Coturnix japonica: one gene and its partners. The protein of the gene in region 3 interacts with the protein of the main gene of each other region in a pairwise test. Links are inferred from orthologs where the notes say so. Each region holds a gene or a part of one and is shown on either strand. Other genes may lie near its edges. The genes, in order: SRRM4, LNX2, SRSF11 and HYI.

Evidence for each region.
Region 1: the proteins of SRSF11 (region 3) and SRRM4 interact in binary tests that used the Homo sapiens proteins (3 or more experiments, as listed by UniProt). The link is inferred for Coturnix japonica from reciprocal best matches to the Homo sapiens genes SRSF11 and SRRM4.
Region 2: the proteins of SRSF11 (region 3) and LNX2 interact in a two-hybrid assay, tested with the Homo sapiens proteins (3 studies listed by BioGRID and IntAct). The link is inferred for Coturnix japonica from reciprocal best matches to the Homo sapiens genes SRSF11 and LNX2.
Region 4: the proteins of SRSF11 (region 3) and HYI interact in binary tests that used the Homo sapiens proteins (3 or more experiments, as listed by UniProt). The two-hybrid records come from large-scale screens. The link is inferred for Coturnix japonica from reciprocal best matches to the Homo sapiens genes SRSF11 and HYI.

Annotation. Positions count from the first base shown.
Region 1 is NC_029530.1:8,684,367-8,688,573, forward strand, and holds the start of SRRM4 (serine/arginine repetitive matrix protein 4), read right to left. Parts: upstream 2,803-4,207; 5' UTR 2,565-2,802; intron 1-2,564. UniProt on the Homo sapiens protein: Splicing factor specifically required for neural cell differentiation.
Region 2 is NC_029516.1:157,558,923-157,562,953, reverse strand, and holds the start of LNX2 (ligand of Numb protein X 2), read right to left. Parts: upstream 2,833-4,031; 5' UTR 2,710-2,832; intron 1-2,709. Other genes in the region: protein POLR1D, read left to right, coding at 3,154-3,179.
Region 3 is NC_029523.1:26,139,577-26,143,137, reverse strand, and holds part of SRSF11 (serine/arginine-rich splicing factor 11), read right to left. Parts: exon of another isoform or gene 1,102-3,561; coding exon of another isoform or gene 1,080-1,101; coding exon 970-1,079; intron 122-969; coding exon 29-121; intron 1-28. UniProt on the Homo sapiens protein: May function in pre-mRNA splicing.
Region 4 is NC_029523.1:17,442,911-17,446,906, reverse strand, and holds HYI (putative hydroxypyruvate isomerase), read left to right. Parts: upstream 1-1,296; 5' UTR 1,297-1,319; coding exon 1,320-1,627; intron 1,628-2,182; coding exon 2,183-2,297; intron 2,298-2,390; coding exon 2,391-2,469; intron 2,470-2,619; coding exon 2,620-2,669; intron 2,670-2,782; coding exon 2,783-2,852; intron 2,853-2,994; coding exon 2,995-3,129; intron 3,130-3,301; coding exon 3,302-3,390; 3' UTR 3,391-3,435; downstream 3,436-3,996. UniProt on the Homo sapiens protein: Catalyzes the reversible isomerization between hydroxypyruvate and 2-hydroxy-3-oxopropanoate (also termed tartronate semialdehyde).

The DNA of each region.
Region 1 (4,207 bases), on a different chromosome or scaffold from region 3:
ATGGAGGGGAAAAACTGGTGCTAGGAATTTGGCAGGAGGAAGGAGAAACACTGCGTGACAGAGGCAGCACACAGCCAGCTGGCCTGATCTGAGCTCCCAGCTCCCGCAGCAGCCAGCTCTGTGCTGCTCCTGATGAGGATTTGAAGCAAAGCGCCCACGTGCCAAAGCAAAGCACCACGGCCACAGGCTGCTGCCCAGCATTAATGGGGGAAGGGAGGCAGCTCCCATCTCTCACGAAAGGCACCAGATTCCAGAAGATCTCCCCTAAGGGGACACAGATCAGAAATGCAGCCTCGCCATTCAGTCACATCCTGACCTGTCAAGTTGCTGTTTCAGTGCTGATGTTTGCATTGCTTGGTGTCCAGCCCCAGGGCAGGGAACAGACCAAATCAACAGCACCCAATTAAAATTACTACTCCTCCAAAAAGAGGACAACTCGAACCCCATACCCCCAAAGCACTGAAAATAATACATGCTCCAACACTGCTTGCATGGCATCTCTTCATTCCATGGCTTTTAAGCAGCCATGGGAGTTCTGAATGTCTCATATTGAGAACCTGGAATGTGGCTGCTGAGTGCAAGCACTGCACAGGTGCTAAGGGATGTGGCTCAGCCATCCTGGAAGGAGCAGGTTTACCAGGCAGGACTGGCAGCAGAGATAATGGCACCGGTGATGTTTCCTTAGGCTGAACTGAAAGGTGACAGTCAGTATAAGCTACCTACAACATTCTGCAGAACAAATGCAGCGTGCTTCAGTTTATACCAACTGTCTCTGCATGTGAGACAGTTATATTGAAATATATTGAATATATTATTTGAAACCTAAACAGCAGGGCAGTAATAGAGCAAACAGGAGGAGCCAGGACACCTGAACTCCCTTCCCAGATTGGACGCAGGAAGCACCACATGAGAGGGCAGCACAGACATCCCAGCTCATATCTCAATAGATAGAGCAGCTTTAGCACCACTAGGTGATACTGCTGGCTGCAAAGGCTCAGCATCCCACTGACAGCCCACCAGCACCCCAGGACAGGCTTAGAGCAAGTCACCGACTGCAGTGCCATGCTGCAGGGAAGGGCAGTGCACAGCCCCACATCCACAGAGTGGTGTGAAGCAATCCGTGTTTATCCCTTCCTGCTGGCATTGTCACGCAAAGACACAGCTCACGCTCCCCTTCCCTCATGCCATTCTCCACTAGGCAGGAGACTTACTTACTTACTCACTTACCACCAGCCTCTCTTCTTCATACACCCCAAGGAAAAGGTGATAAAAATCTCTTTAAAAAGATTTCCAAAGCTCTCACAGATTAAAAGGTCCTATTAGACCACTTTTTAGGATAGCAGTGGAGGCAGGGAGAGGAAAGTTTAAGACAGACAAGCTGCAGTGGAAAAATTGATCTATTAAAGCAGCGGATGCTATCAGGGAAGCGACGGATTTCCTACAGACCAGCATAGCCAGACACATTTCTTCTAAAACAGATCTGTCCTGGCTTCTCCTCACCATGGCAGCTCTGCCCTCTACCTGCCTGCATCACAGCAGCCCGGCTTGACAGCTCTAATGGGGTGATTCAGTTTATTGACCTATTTGCTGCCACCTGCTTGGGACACAGCCACGGCAGATTTGCCATTGTGTAAGCAGCAGCCAGCATAAAACTCTAAATAAATTTTCAGAGGCCGTGAGCAGTGTAATTAATCACACTGTCTATCAAAAGGCAACAGCAGCAGGGCGGCAGGCAGGGGAACACAGAAGGCAAGGCTGTACAAGGGGAGCATCGGGGCCCCCTCCTGCTGTCTGCCCTTACCCCATGCTGCCAGATGAGGCACAAGCCAAGAATTAAGGCCATGCTGAAGCTAGAGTCTAGGTCAAACCCTATTTCACTGCTCACCCACTACTTGAACCTGAGCAAGTAGCCATCTGCCATGACATGCTTCATTTCTGCACACACTTGATGAGGAAATAAGCAGCATTCACAGCCAGCATTTGCAAAGTATTTAAGTTAGGAGCGCTTCAATCTGTTTCCAACCATGCTGAACTCGTGTCTTCTCTTCTCCTCAGGACCTCTGAATCTGGCACAGACCAGCTAGCAGAGCGAGAGCAGAACAGAGATGTTAAAGAAACAGAAGGAAGAGATTTACACACCCCAAACTTGGTTCCTTCCAGCTCACTTGGCAAACGCACCGAGCCTGAATCCTCCTCACTGCGATCTCTCCTCTGCTTCCCTGCCAATGCACCCATTTGGGATGCTGGTTCTGCCGCCTACCCAGTGACCAAAGTGCTGCACTAAGGCTCAGAAAGAAGTCAGGTGATTGCATAGGAGAGATCTATATATACACACACACAAATGTATGTATATGTAATAGGACTCAAATTTTAAGGAGTTTAGGACATGGCACACCTCTGCTTTAAGGTAAGTGCCATGTTGCCTTACAGCAAGGCTCCCTCTTGACAACCTTCCCCACATTCATCAGCAGAAGCAAACAGAAGAGCTTGCCCCTGAGAGAAAACCTTCACACAATCTCCACCTTAAAAAACCATCAGAAGCTCCTGGAGATGCTTTGACTCACCAGGCAAATCAGGAGCCAGCAGGGCCTTTCTGAAGGGAGCTGACAGACAGACAGACATCATGCCTGAACCCTCTGCTTCTCCCACTTTGCATCTCCTTCAGCCAAGCAGGGTGGTCAACATGAAGGCATTGTGCAGGCAGAGGGGCACAGTCCTGACCTGAAAAGACAGAGACAAGAAAATCTTTTATTCTCATGCCATTGAACCGGAGCCAAATGAGGCTGCAGCACACATCTCAGGGCTGTGATTCATCTGAAGTGCTCAGCCAAGCCCTGAGCTCAGAACACAGCCCATCCCAGGGTCGTGCCTCCCCTTCCAGCCTGCTTGCTGGGCTCCCTCCGGGTTGCTGGCATCCCTCCTGCTCCAAGCGGATGCTGCTTCTCTAAGTAACATCAATGCAGCGCTGAGCAAAAACCCCCCTCAAAAGGAGTGAAAACAAAAAAAATCTAGTCCAGCCTTTGAGCCACGCTATTAATATTTCATCTTTTTTTTTTTTTTCTGCCAGAAGAAAGTAAGTCCCTCCTGCCAGCTGGGCTGCCATCTCACCACCACGTATCTGTGTCTCAGCCCTGGCTGCCAGCCTCTCCACACAGATGGCAAATGCAAGGCTCATATCCCCTCCACACAACCCCTTCTGCATCCCTTAGTGGCAGCACCGGAGCCAGCAGCACGCTGTAGTGAGGCATCAAGAGGCAGGCAGGGCTGGGCTGAGCACCCTGCAAAACAAAACTCAGGGCAGACCCAAGGATCGCACACAAGACCTGCATTGGGTCCACCCAGATGGGCCACAGGCTCACACCTCCCATCCCTGACTGCTGCAGCTGGAAGACATCTATCAGTTGTTACCATCACAAAGCCAGGCTCCATCCCACCCCCACGCAATCTATCCATCAGGCATCATCTGTGTCAAGCTGGTTGGTTTTTTTAGTTGAAACTTAATGCCTGTGAAGTATTTTGTCTTTAAATTATTGTGCAGACTCAGTCAGTTAAACAGTGCTTCCCAGTCTAGACAGAACAATCTTGTTGTCAGTGAAACAGATTCGCCCTGACATCCCATGGTGCGTGGTGATGTGTTTGCTATTTTGGAAGAAAGAAGACAGCTAAAAGCTCTTCCTCTCATGGCTCCAAAACCTGATTCCCGTCCACTCAGCTTCAAACAAATACCTTCACAAACCATCCCGTGCCTTTGGTTTGATGGCTCTATGTCAGGCACCAGAATGGGTGAAGAAAGGGGGAATGGCTCTGCCTGCTCCCAGACACAGACCTGCCCGATTCCCCCTGGCCATGGGACGAGCTCTGGGTCATTAGTGTGGAGGTATTGCTTTAAACCGTGCCACAGTTCAAGTTGCAGATCAGCTTTGCCCCTGTTGCCTCCATCAGTGCATGGAGGGACTGCAAACACTTCGGCTCCTTTATAATTAAAAGCCTCTCCTCCCCCGAGTGAAAAACCTGCATAGAGGAAAAGGTGAAGCAGATGAAGCATCTGACAGCACTTCATTTCTAGTCAGGATGAAGCCCGCGGAGCTGTAGGAGTGAAACAAGCCTGATCAAACCAGAGATCATATTTTCCCCTTTTGCACCGTCAGCAAAGGATCCTTGATGTCTGCAGTCAGAAGCAACAAATACCATTTGGGGATGTTTTCAT
Region 2 (4,031 bases), on a different chromosome or scaffold from region 3:
TAACCCAAGAAAGATCCTACCTACAAGCTAGTAATAAGAAAGGAACAGCTTACTCCTCACTCCCAGGGCCTCATCCAACCTGGCCTTGACCACCACTAAGGGATGGGCTGATTAAAACATAGAGCTTAGAGATCAAAAGGGGCAGACATCCAGGCAAGCCTGCGCCACCACAACAACCTGATGGACACAGCAGCTGCTGGCAGCACATCAGAGCATCCTGGTCCAGCCCAACCTGCACCCACAGAGCAGGCAGCATCTCTCGTTGCCAAGCCAGGAGCCAACAGCCACTTGTACTGTTACATGCAAAAGAGAGCGCGGTCAGTATGAAAACACATGACAGGTTTAGCCTATGAACTTTGTGAATATAAATCCTGACCCTGAAAACGTTTACATGCAGGCTTAGCGCTAAGCCTAAGAACAGGCCCACTAATTCCAAAAGAAATACTTGGATGCTTAGAATTAAACATATGTAAGTACACAGATCTGTAGAATTGGGGACAGAAAAAAGCACACACCACAATTTGATGGGTTTTTATTGCTCTGTGGATACCACAGTGTAGCAAGTACATCATTCATGATATTTACAAGAATTTTCATCTGCAACATGCCCTGCAGCTCCTCAGCAAACGCCACTGACCTAATAAAACAATTAAGAACCACAAGACTTGACGGTGCCATGTTAAGTTGTTTCTGCAGACCAAACCAACTGAGAATTTTCCAGTCCCGGAGACAGGCCACAGCTGCATCTGATCAGTCACCAGGCGCCTCTTACACCAGGGAGCATCTTAGCACAGCACGAGTGCTGCTTTCTTACCCATTGCAGACCATAATATCTCACGGCTTTTTAAGCAAGCAGCATCGGGCTGATTTATGACACCAATTTGTATTAATCCAATATCTAATATATATCATACGCTTAAACACTTCACTTTTAAAGTGATATCACTGGTTACCACATCTCCTTAACAGTAGCTTTCAGCTACATCAAGCCATTCATTTTAAGAGCACAGGAAAAAGTGAGATTTTAAAAAGAGGGGGGATATTTTCCAGTGTTATAGCTGGAAGCCAACAAACCTCTACTGCTTTCAGTGAGACAAGCGCACAAACAGACCCCCAGTTTGAGGCTCAGAGGCCACGCAGTGCGGGTAAAGGCTCATGGCAATGCCAGGTTTTACTGAGGTCACCAAGGCTCCTGTGAGAGCAAATGCCCAATGTACACAAAAACCAGCAGTATCAAAGCCAGCATTTATGCGTAATAGGTTTTCATAGGCTTCATTTTTAAATGAACCTCACTGTCTCAAGAGAGCAGAACTTTTCACCCAGGAAGCTGCGGGCATTTCTCTTGCAAAGTCCACTGTTAAGCTGCAGCTTAATATTAAATGATGCTTTGGTTAATGAAAGATGTAAGCCTGCCTTAGGCAATAATGTTGATTTAACCATTGTAGACCCAAGTCCAAGGCCCTGGATTATCTCTTGCTGAAGTCACAGACCAGAACTAGAAGCCAGGACAGTTACAAGTTCATTATAGAAAGCTCTCATTAAAGAAAAAAATGTGCATTTTATAGGCACTTATTCCAAGATTTTAGAATTTCAATAATACAAGCACTTAAAAGCATGATATTTTTCTTTAATATAAAGAACTTCAAAAGCCAACAAAACCTTAGTTGAGCACAACTGCAATCCTTACAATTCCCTGCATTTGGAGTCAACCATATAGAACTGGCTTCAGGAAAGAGGGGATTCCTCACTTTAGAAGTCAATGCAAGAAGGTCCCAGTCGGTTTTGTTGTTCCCAAAGGTGTGCTCACAAACCTTGTCTCTGGAGGGATGGTAATGAAGTCACGGCAGCATATGGCACCGCCGTGTTTGCTCCCAAGTGCACAGCCGCTAACCGGAGCCATCTGATGCTCCCCCTAAGCTCCCTGATCTGCGGTGGGATTGAAGCTTACAGCAAAGCTTCGTGGAGCCCAAAGGAAGACAATGGTTTGCAGACACACAGAAATCACTCATTTACTTTAACGGGGGCCCAGCTCGGATCTGGGTCTCTGCTGAGCAAAAGCTCTGATGCGTTTACGAGCAGGAGTGCATTTCCAGAGAGCATCAAACACGACCCAAAGCCGATCCGTGTCATTTTCCCGTCGCACACAGAGAGCAACGAGATCACGTAATTAAAATAGGAATTAAACGAAGCTCGGGCGTACTTAATGGTGGATTCCTACAGCAGGAAACAACCAACGCCCCGCACCGGGAGCGTGGTCACAGGAGCCCCATGGGGCCGAGCAGCCTGTCAGTGCCATAGCACTCCCTACCCGCTCGGCTGAGCACCAACACACAGCGAGGAGCAGTAACACGGCACGCCTCGGGAAAGTTCACAAGGCGCCGCACTGCAAGTTTTCCAACCGCACCTTCGGTTTAAACGAGAGGGGAGAGAAAAGAGCAGCCTGGCATCGATGTGTGCGCTCCGGCGCTGCCCACAACTCTCCCTGCCCTCCGCCCTCCCCAGGCAGCGGTAACGCGACTCCGGAGTCACGGCTCCAGCACAACTCCCCGAAGCGGCCCGGCGCTGCTCTCCCCCTCCCGCACTTGTTGCGGCCCCGCAGGCCCCGCCGCAGGCCCGGCCCTGTCCCGGGGGAGGCCCCCGCCCCGCGGAGCGCAACGAGGGGCCGGGCCGCCCCCAGGGGACCGAGCGCGTTGCGGGGCACGGACTTACCACGGCGGCACCCGGCTCCTCACGGCGGCAGCCGAACTCCGGGCGGCCACTCGGCGCGGCGCCTCCCTCCCCACCGCCCGGCCCCGCTCCCCGCCTCCCCCGGGGCAGCGTAAGTGACGCCGCGCTCCGCCACTCCGGCGGCAGCCCCGGGGCGCGGGGCCGGGCGCGGGGCCGGCTCAGCCTATGGCGGAGCGGCCGAGGCGGGACGCACCGCAGCCCCGGGCCGGGAGGGACCCTCCGCCCTACGGAGCGCAACCCGGGGCGGGGCGGGGCGGGGCGGGGCGGGGTGGGCAGCGCTGCCGCCAGGGCTCCATCCCCGCCCCGCCCGGCACCGCCCCCTCCCCGCCGGATCCGGAGCTGCGCCTGCTCGCTCCGCCTCGAGGAGCTGGGCTGAGAGCGGCTATGGCGTCTGTGTCAGCGTGAGGAGCCGGGCTGTAGTCTGCCATGGAGGAGGATCTGGAGTTGGAGAGGTGAGGGGCGGCCGTACTGTGCTGCGGGTTCTCCTTCGCTCTGGGCTGCGCTTGTAGGGCCAGTGAGGCCTTGGGGCTGGTCCTGTGTCGGCTCCCGGCCTGTAGGGCCTGGCTTGTGCGGCCTGTGCTCGGCCCTGAGCCCTCAGCCCATTGCTACGCATCTCTGCGTAATGCGGACCGCTCTTGTAATGTCATTTATACGCGAGAGATTTAAAAGTCGTATAAATGGGTGGTTAAAGTTATTTGGTTAACGCGTAGAGGCTGAACTTTTTGCAAGCAGCTGCATGGAACTGTTACAGCGAAGTGATGGCTGAGAATCTCATGGTTCCGTCTCATAACTTTTAAGAAATGTGTTTGAGAGTGCTGATGGGAAGGCCTGCTAAAAAGGACCTGGGGGTACTGCTGGATCACAGGCTAAACATGAGCAGCAATGTGCCCTGGCAATCTAGAAGGCCAACCTGTGCTGCATCCAAAGCAACATGGCCAGCTGGCCAAGGGAGTGATCCTGCCCCTCTGCTCTGTGCTGGTGAGGTCTCACCTGAAGTACTGGAGAGACATGGAGCTGTTGGAGCACATCCAGAGGAGGGCCACAGAATGACCCAGGGGATGGAATGCCTTCCTACAAGGACAGGCTGAGAGAGCTGGGGCTGTTCAGCCTGGAGAAGAGAAGGCTCCAGGATGACCTGAGAATGGCCTTTCAGTATGTGAAGGGGGTCTATAAGAAAGAAGGGGACAGATGCTTTAACAGAGTCTGTTGCAGTAGGACAGGGGGATATGGTTTCAAAGCAAGAGAGTGGAGACATAGATTGGATGTAAGGAAGAAGTTCCTTTACAATCATTGTGGTGAGGCAC
Region 3 (3,561 bases):
TGGGACAACACAGAACGCTGTGACACACCTGAGAGTTTAAGTTTGCTCCAGGAAGCCCAAGAGCAGCAAGGGCAGGATCGAGAGCAGGAGCTCCGAGAGCAGCTAAAGGAACAGCACCAATCTGTAACAAAGACAGCAATGAGCCAAAGCAACATTCAACTGACAAAAACTGTTCAGAGTCTCCAAGCGTTCTGTAAGCATTCTAAAATGAGACTCTGCCAGGAGTTACCAGGAAAACTCACTCCAAGTTTCTAAGCCAGTGACCTCACCTTCTGTAACTTCCCCCAGGTTTCAAGGCTCAGCTCTACAGCTTCTGAACAGCTCAATACATCTTTCATATAGGAATAACACGAGTTACATGCAGGAGTGCTAAGCAGAAGCTGAAGAAGCAGATCTGAGATAGATCTGAGATATGCAGAGCTAATGAAGCCAGACTCTTACTGATTTGCCTCCTGCACTTTGATTCTGAGCTCTAATAAGATGTGTTTTGAACTTATATTTTTCTGTAACACACTTTTTTTGCCATTCATTTTCCACATGATTTTCTGTGTGTTTAAAGAGCAAATACACGCTGTAACTTTTCCCCCCCCTCAGCTGTAATATTACTGAAGTTATTTCTCCACAGCTCATCAATTTCTTGGCATTCAGGAATTTAGACTCTGTCTGTAAGATCCCTCCTCCTTGTCAGATCTGTTGGTAAGCATTCAATGGAGAGAAAAGGGATCTGAGGGGAAAGGCCGTAAGTGGCACAGCAGAAGTACTCCTCCTAACAACTCACCATCCTTCCAACAAAAACTGTATCAGAGGGCTGCAACAATACTATCCATGGAGGTATCCAAAGTACAACACTCCCTGCCTCAACATCAGCATGCCAGCAGGTTCCTCTGGAAACCAACCGACCGACCAAGCAGGAAGCAACTGAGCACCCAGCATTGGGTTCCCTTCATCCAGCCCAAGCAGAAAACCTACCTGAGAAAGTGGGTTGGGAGTAGGCAGGAGTCCACCTCCAGGCAGCAGACCTGCCACAGCATTGGCTGGTGCCAAGAGAGACAAAGCCTTAGTCTCATCAGGAATGACTCCTGCAGAGAAATAGCCTGGCATTAGAACGCATTCTTTTTCTAAAGCAGAAAATACACAAATACACCCAAGAAAATGTCTCCCTGATACACCACCTGAGTTTGTTGAAAGTACTTATGTTTGCTAAAATACAAAGCTTGATGGCTATTAATATTTATCATTAATTTTTTTTTTGTCAGAATGAAACTTCAATGCGTGAAAATTTGACTGTTCCTTTTTCTCTACAAATGGTTAAGTATCTAGAGCAAAAAAAAATAGCACAATACACACTACTGTTTTGTTAACACTGCCAAGATTTCATCACCTGTACTCGATTTTTAAGTCATGAACCAAACGTAAGCAAGCACAGTCGGTTCTCCAGGGGTGTGCTCTCAACTTTCAAAAGCTGTTTTATGAACAACGACTCGTGTCGGCTGCTTCACTACAAAGCACACAGAAAAATCAAGATACACAAGACAAAAAAAGTTTGATTTAGGGGTTAATAATACGGTACAGTTCACTATGTTTTCTTTTACACCTACCATAGCAAATTTGTAAAACTTAAAGAGAAGGTACGGAAATATTTTTTTGCTGAATCAAGCGTAGGGCTTTTGCTGACTTGTCAGATAAAAACGACAGACTCTGCAGGTCTTCCAATACAAGCTGTGTGTGTCTGCATACGTACAGTACGTCGTGGCACATTCCTTACCTGTGCAGTAAAATGCTTATGTTCCGATATGTGCCATGCTTATGTACCAAGAATGCTGCTACGGAAGAAACTTCTGGCCCCAAATCTTGCAGCCAACTAAGACAAGCGTCTTATTTACTGCCTGCTCTGCACAGATAATTTGAAGGGTCCTAGCGCAAAACAAGTACTTGTGTAGGTGTTTTTTACTTCTATCCAACAGCAAAAGCCCTATACAGATGGATTAATTTGTTAATGTGCCCAAGCCCCCAAAATGAGAGTTCAATAAAACAATTTTACTAAATATTTGCAAATACCAGTAGCGTTTCTGCAATACGTATTAAGAAACTGCATCTCATCATAAAACATACAATATGTACAGGGCACTTAAGAGAAACTGGATAAGCTGCAGAAGAAAACTGTTGGGTGGTATTTTCAGCAGGGCCTGGTATATAGTTCAGGCTGAACCAGGGAAAAGAACTGTAAAACACAACAACAAAAAAGAAAAACCACTGTTAAATAAAGGTAATGGTTCCTTCCACCTATACTGAGAAGTGCCGATAATATAAACAAATGTACAACACACAGCACTGTTATCTCGCTCGTGTCATTGAGCTGCCATCAATTTAGATACCAAAAGTTATGGAGGGAGAGGAGGGGAAAAAGGTCATTTAGATAAAGGGCATTAACGCATAAATATATTAACATACCTACAGAGAGATTACGGGGTAATTTTGCATGCAAAATTATGTCTGAGAGGATATTTATCAATTACAGCTAAACATTTCAAATTAGTGCAGCTACGACATTTCCGGCAGCTAAACGCAAACCCTCACTCATCTCCAGACACCTCACAGGAGATCTGCATTCATTAAAAAAAATCATGCATCTGATGCTCTACTCGTTTCTTTAAAAGGTATTTAGAAATAAATAAACTACAAGTGAAAAAAGCAATGAGGCCCCTCACCAGTTAATTTTCATGCTTCAAGAGCTTTTTTTACTGCTGCTTTGTTAGAACCATGAAATACTGTATGAATATGTAGAAATGAAAGAAAAAGAAACAGACAAAAGAAACAAACATTAACCAAAGAACCTAAATACCCCCCCAGCCACCTTTAATCTTAGAGCTCCTTCCAAATCTAGGAATATCACAGTGAAAATTACAATGAATACTAAACCTTACCGTAGACTTTGTGTATAGCTCTATAACACAAAGCAACAGCCAACACCAAAGTGTCTGTGTGTGCTAAACCTGGAGTGCACTTGTGATATATGGGATAATTATTGCGCTAGACAGATAATAAACATTCACTTTAGCGACAGGCAATAATAAAACAGAATTATCACAGCAGAAAACAAGAGAGGTGAGGGCCCAGTTCAGCACAGTAATTAAGCATCTGCCTGACTTTAAGCACATGAACAAATTCACTGCGGTTTTAAGAATCTCGCTGTACGGTGCTTAAGTAACTTGTTGAATTGGGACCCCGGCAGCACGAAATTAGAGGTAAGGATGCTCCCATACAGGGACCAGGGGCAGAGCTTCATTGGCTGAACACGTGGCTGGGGATAGGCCACATCATTATGACAGAACTGTTCACACTCTGAATCACTGTAATACCATAAGAAACAGCCCATAAGGAACTCTGTGACTTAAACAGGCCCATTAAAATACAATGATGTCATTAACATTATCTTTAGACAATCTGAACTGAAACCACTGGGCAGAGTTTTTATGCACCAGTTTTATCCAGAATGGACAAGTCAGACTGACAAAGAATATTCTTTTAATCCTTATTGGAAAAACTAAACACTGACATCTG
Region 4 (3,996 bases), about 8.7 Mb from region 3:
GAAGCAGGGCTGGGACTCAAGCACACTCTTGTTAATGCAGAAATCCCTGCCCTGGCTTTGGGGAGAGGACAGTGTATTTCCCAGTGCGGTGCCCAGCAGTGGTGCTACCACGGGGTCAAAGCACAGACTGGGAAGTAAGGTGACTCCCCAGGCCCCCTCATATGCCATGGGTCATTAATCTGGCTGAACAAGAGCAAGTTTCCCAGGTCCCAGCAGGAACCGCCCTGCATTTCTAGCAGGGAACTGGCTGCCGAGTTGCTGTGCTGTCCCAGCCCTGCCATCACAGCTCATGGATGAGTCTGCTCCAGAATTTCAGCCAGCCTATAGTGAGCAAGGGCTGATTCTTGAGGCTGTAAAACACACACACGGCTGTGTCTGCAGGGCAGGATGGTGCACCATACAGCACAGCCATCCCATGGCACTGCACTGCCCTGGCCAGCCAAGCAGCAGTGAGTAAATCCGCTGTGCCCTGTCAAGGTAAAGTGACAAAACACCGGGCTGCAATGCAGGAACTGCAGTTATAACAAGGGAAAATCAATGAAATACATTACCACAGATAGAAAGGACTCATTAATTTGTAGAGCCCAACAGATGCGCTCGCTGCTCACAGGGCAGGTTTGCTGTGAGCTCCCAAACACCCACCTCTGCTGCTCACATCACCAGCTCTCGGGCTCCAGATGTGGCTGTAGGACATGGAGCTCCTTCAGCCCCACGGAGCACAGACTGTGCTTGCACTGTGTGCACACACAGGGGATGCTCTCCAGGGACACACGTGGCAGCCCCGCACCTCAGCACAGCTGTCCATCACGGGGGACAGTTCTGCTTATTGCCGAGAAGTTGAGTTGAGCTTCTTCTAATTGATTAATCAATAGCCTTAATTGAGTTGAGACTCCATAACTAATCGTTTGGCTGCTGCTTTCCCCTTGGCCCGCACTGCCCCGACCCCAACACCTGCTGTGGGGCCACACCGGGAGGGTGTAAAGTAGTAAAGCACATAGTAAAGCACATAGCAAAGCACAGCAATCAGTGCTTGCTCGGGATGTCCCGAGTGCGGCTGCTCTGCTGTCTCTGTACCGAGGCGGGGATGCTGCTGCAGCCACGTTGCGTGCTGCTGGTGCACGGCACAACCACACAACTGCTCTGTGCCAGGACAAGGCCCACATGGGTCCCGGTTTTGCTCTGCAGACCCACGAGGAGCCTGAACTCAAAGCCGCGTTACGAGATGGCGGCGGGGCGATCCAGCATCGACAGCAAGCGATACCACGCCTCCTCCCACCATATTGGGTCTGGCTTAGCACAGCCCCTCCTACCTGCCCGTCATGGCGCTGCGCTTCTCGGCCAACCTGTCGTGGCTGTTCCCGGAGCTGCCGGCTCTACCGGCCCGGCTGGAGGCGGCGGCTCGTGCCGGGTTCGATGCGGTGGAGTCGGCCTGGCCCGAGGGCTGCCCGGCCACAGCGCTGCACGGCGCCGCAGAGCGGGCTGGGCTGCGGGTCGTGCTGCTCAACACCCCGCCCGGGGACACGGAGCGGGGCGAGATGGGGCTGTGCGCCGTGCCCGGGCGGCAGGACGCCTTCCGGCAGGGTCTGGCCGAGGCCGTGCGGTACGGCCGGGCCGTGGGCTGCCACAGGTACGTGCGAGACGGAGCTCGGAGCCGGGGGTTCGGCCGAGCTGCCCCCGCAGCGGCACCGTGCCTCGCTCCGTGCCTCGCTCCGTGCCTCGCCTCGCCCTTTGCCCCTCGTGCCGGGCTGCCGCGTGCTCCCCCCGCAGCCTGCCTGCTCCACACCTGAACCTGCCGTTATCCCCGTGTCACCGCAGCTGTTGCTTTGTTGAGGGCCACGTGCTGTAGGTGCGTTGTAAGAGACGAAATAGTGACACAACCCGCTCCAGAAAAACACTGTTGCCTTTTTGTCCCGTTCACTGTGAATCATTCCTTCCCTCGTTCCTTCCCTCAGTACAGCCCAAGATCCCGCACCCAGACCTGCACCTGCCTGAGTCTGCTTGTTTTCTGCATTAACAGCAATGCTGAAAGCTGCTTGATTTTCAGTGCTTCTTCACCCAACAGTTGCCTGAGGCTCCCGTCCTGACATGGCCCAGGCCTGGCGCTGTCTCTATACCTGCAGAGCAGTTGTGTCAGCCCCCACCCATGGCCTGGAAACAAGAGCTGAGCTCTGTGTGCCCACAGGATCCACCTGATGGCCGGGCGGGTGCCGCGGGGTGTGGAGCGGGAGGCAGTGGCTGGTGAGATGGAGGCCACGTTCATTGAGAACCTCAGGCATGCGGCTGATGTCCTAGCTCAGGTAATAAGGGGGGGGTGGGCTCTAAAGGATGGAGAACTGCCACTGCTGGCACGTGAGGCCATGCAGCAGAGGCCATGCATTGCTGTGTGACAGGAGGACATGCTGGGGCTGGTGGAGCCGATTAACAGCCGTATCACTGACCCGCGCTACTTTCTGAACACCCCACACCAAGGTACGGCACACAGCTCTCCCAGAGGAGCCTGCATGGAGGAAACAGCGGCCCCAGGCTGTCTGACTGAGCATGGAGGCAGGAGGTGGGCACTTCTGAAACCCTGAAAACTTCAGCTTGGCATTAACCAACTCTCATTTCTTGCACCCTCAGCTGCTGCCATCCTGGAGAAGGTGGGACGACCCAACCTGAAGCTGCAGCTGGTGAGTGCAGCCCTGAGCACATGAGGCAGTTGGAGATGCAAGGCAGGGCTCAGGGCCAGACAGCCCTGCTCCACCGAACAGCTACAACAACTCTTGAATGTTCTCTTACTTAGGACTTCTTTCACTGTCAGATCATGGATGGGAATCTGTCACGTAACCTGGAGACGTACCTCCCACTCATTGGTAATGCACTGCATCTGACCTGGCTTCTTTGAGTCTTGTGACTTGAGGATGGGGATGAGGGATGCTCTCAGGTCACCCCATCCTGTGCTGACAGACAGCTGTAGGCAGGGCTGCCTGGGGCACAACCTCCCATCTCCCCCAGGTCATATCCAGATCGCACAGGTGCCAGGGCGACACGAGCCCGACAGCCCTGGGGAGCTGAACTTCCCCTATATCTTCAAGCTGCTGGAGTCCCTCGGCTACACTGGCTACGTGGGCTGTGAGTACGCACCAAAAGGTGAGTGGGGCTGTGTGCTCTGACCCCCCCAGCAGGTCCCAGCATTGACCAGTCCTCCGGGACTGTGTGAAGATAGGCCTGACTGGGGGTGGTAGGCAGCCAGGTCCGTACCTGGAAATGAGAGCAGAAGCTGCTGCAGCTTGGCTAGCACAATCCTTCACCTGCCATGCAGGAGACACGGTAGAAGGTCTTGGCTGGCTGCGTTCATACTGGGAGAGCAGAGGCATGAAACCTGGCGGGCCCAGAAAAGCAACAGAATAAAGTAAGAAAAGCACTGGAATAAATGTCAAACCAATGAGCCTAAAACAAGAGTGTCTGTTTTTAGTTTGGGGATGCTGGGGCAGCCCCAGAGATGACAGGGTGACATCAAGGACAGAGAAGCATCTTCACCTCCAGGCTGCAGGTCTAGGATAAGGCTTTCAGTCCTCAGTGCTGAGGAATCATTCATCCCTTGGGAAGGTAGTGAGTCTTCCAAAGTCCAGCTGGTGCCTGGAGCTGCAGGTTCTGAACTTCTCCACTCTGCCTGTTTTATTCTGTGCAGTTCCCAAAGCTGCTGGCAAATGCAATCTCCCAGGCTGCTAAGCAGGACCACACTGCTGATCCTGCTCTGAGCAAGGAGACTCACTGCAAATCTAGTCTGCTCTGCTCCAGGGAGAGCCCTGCAATGGGGCAGTGGTGCCTCTGCTGCCCTGAAGAGGCTTTCCCCATCTTGACCTGTGCCACACGAGTGGGGAACTGATTCTGTTTTATTTCACAAATATATCCATGGCTTTAATGTATCATCATCAATGTACACCTCCACAAAACCTTCCCTGTGTCCATTCACCCTTCCTGTCCCATTTGGCGCTCTCCTACTGAGAGCAAAGG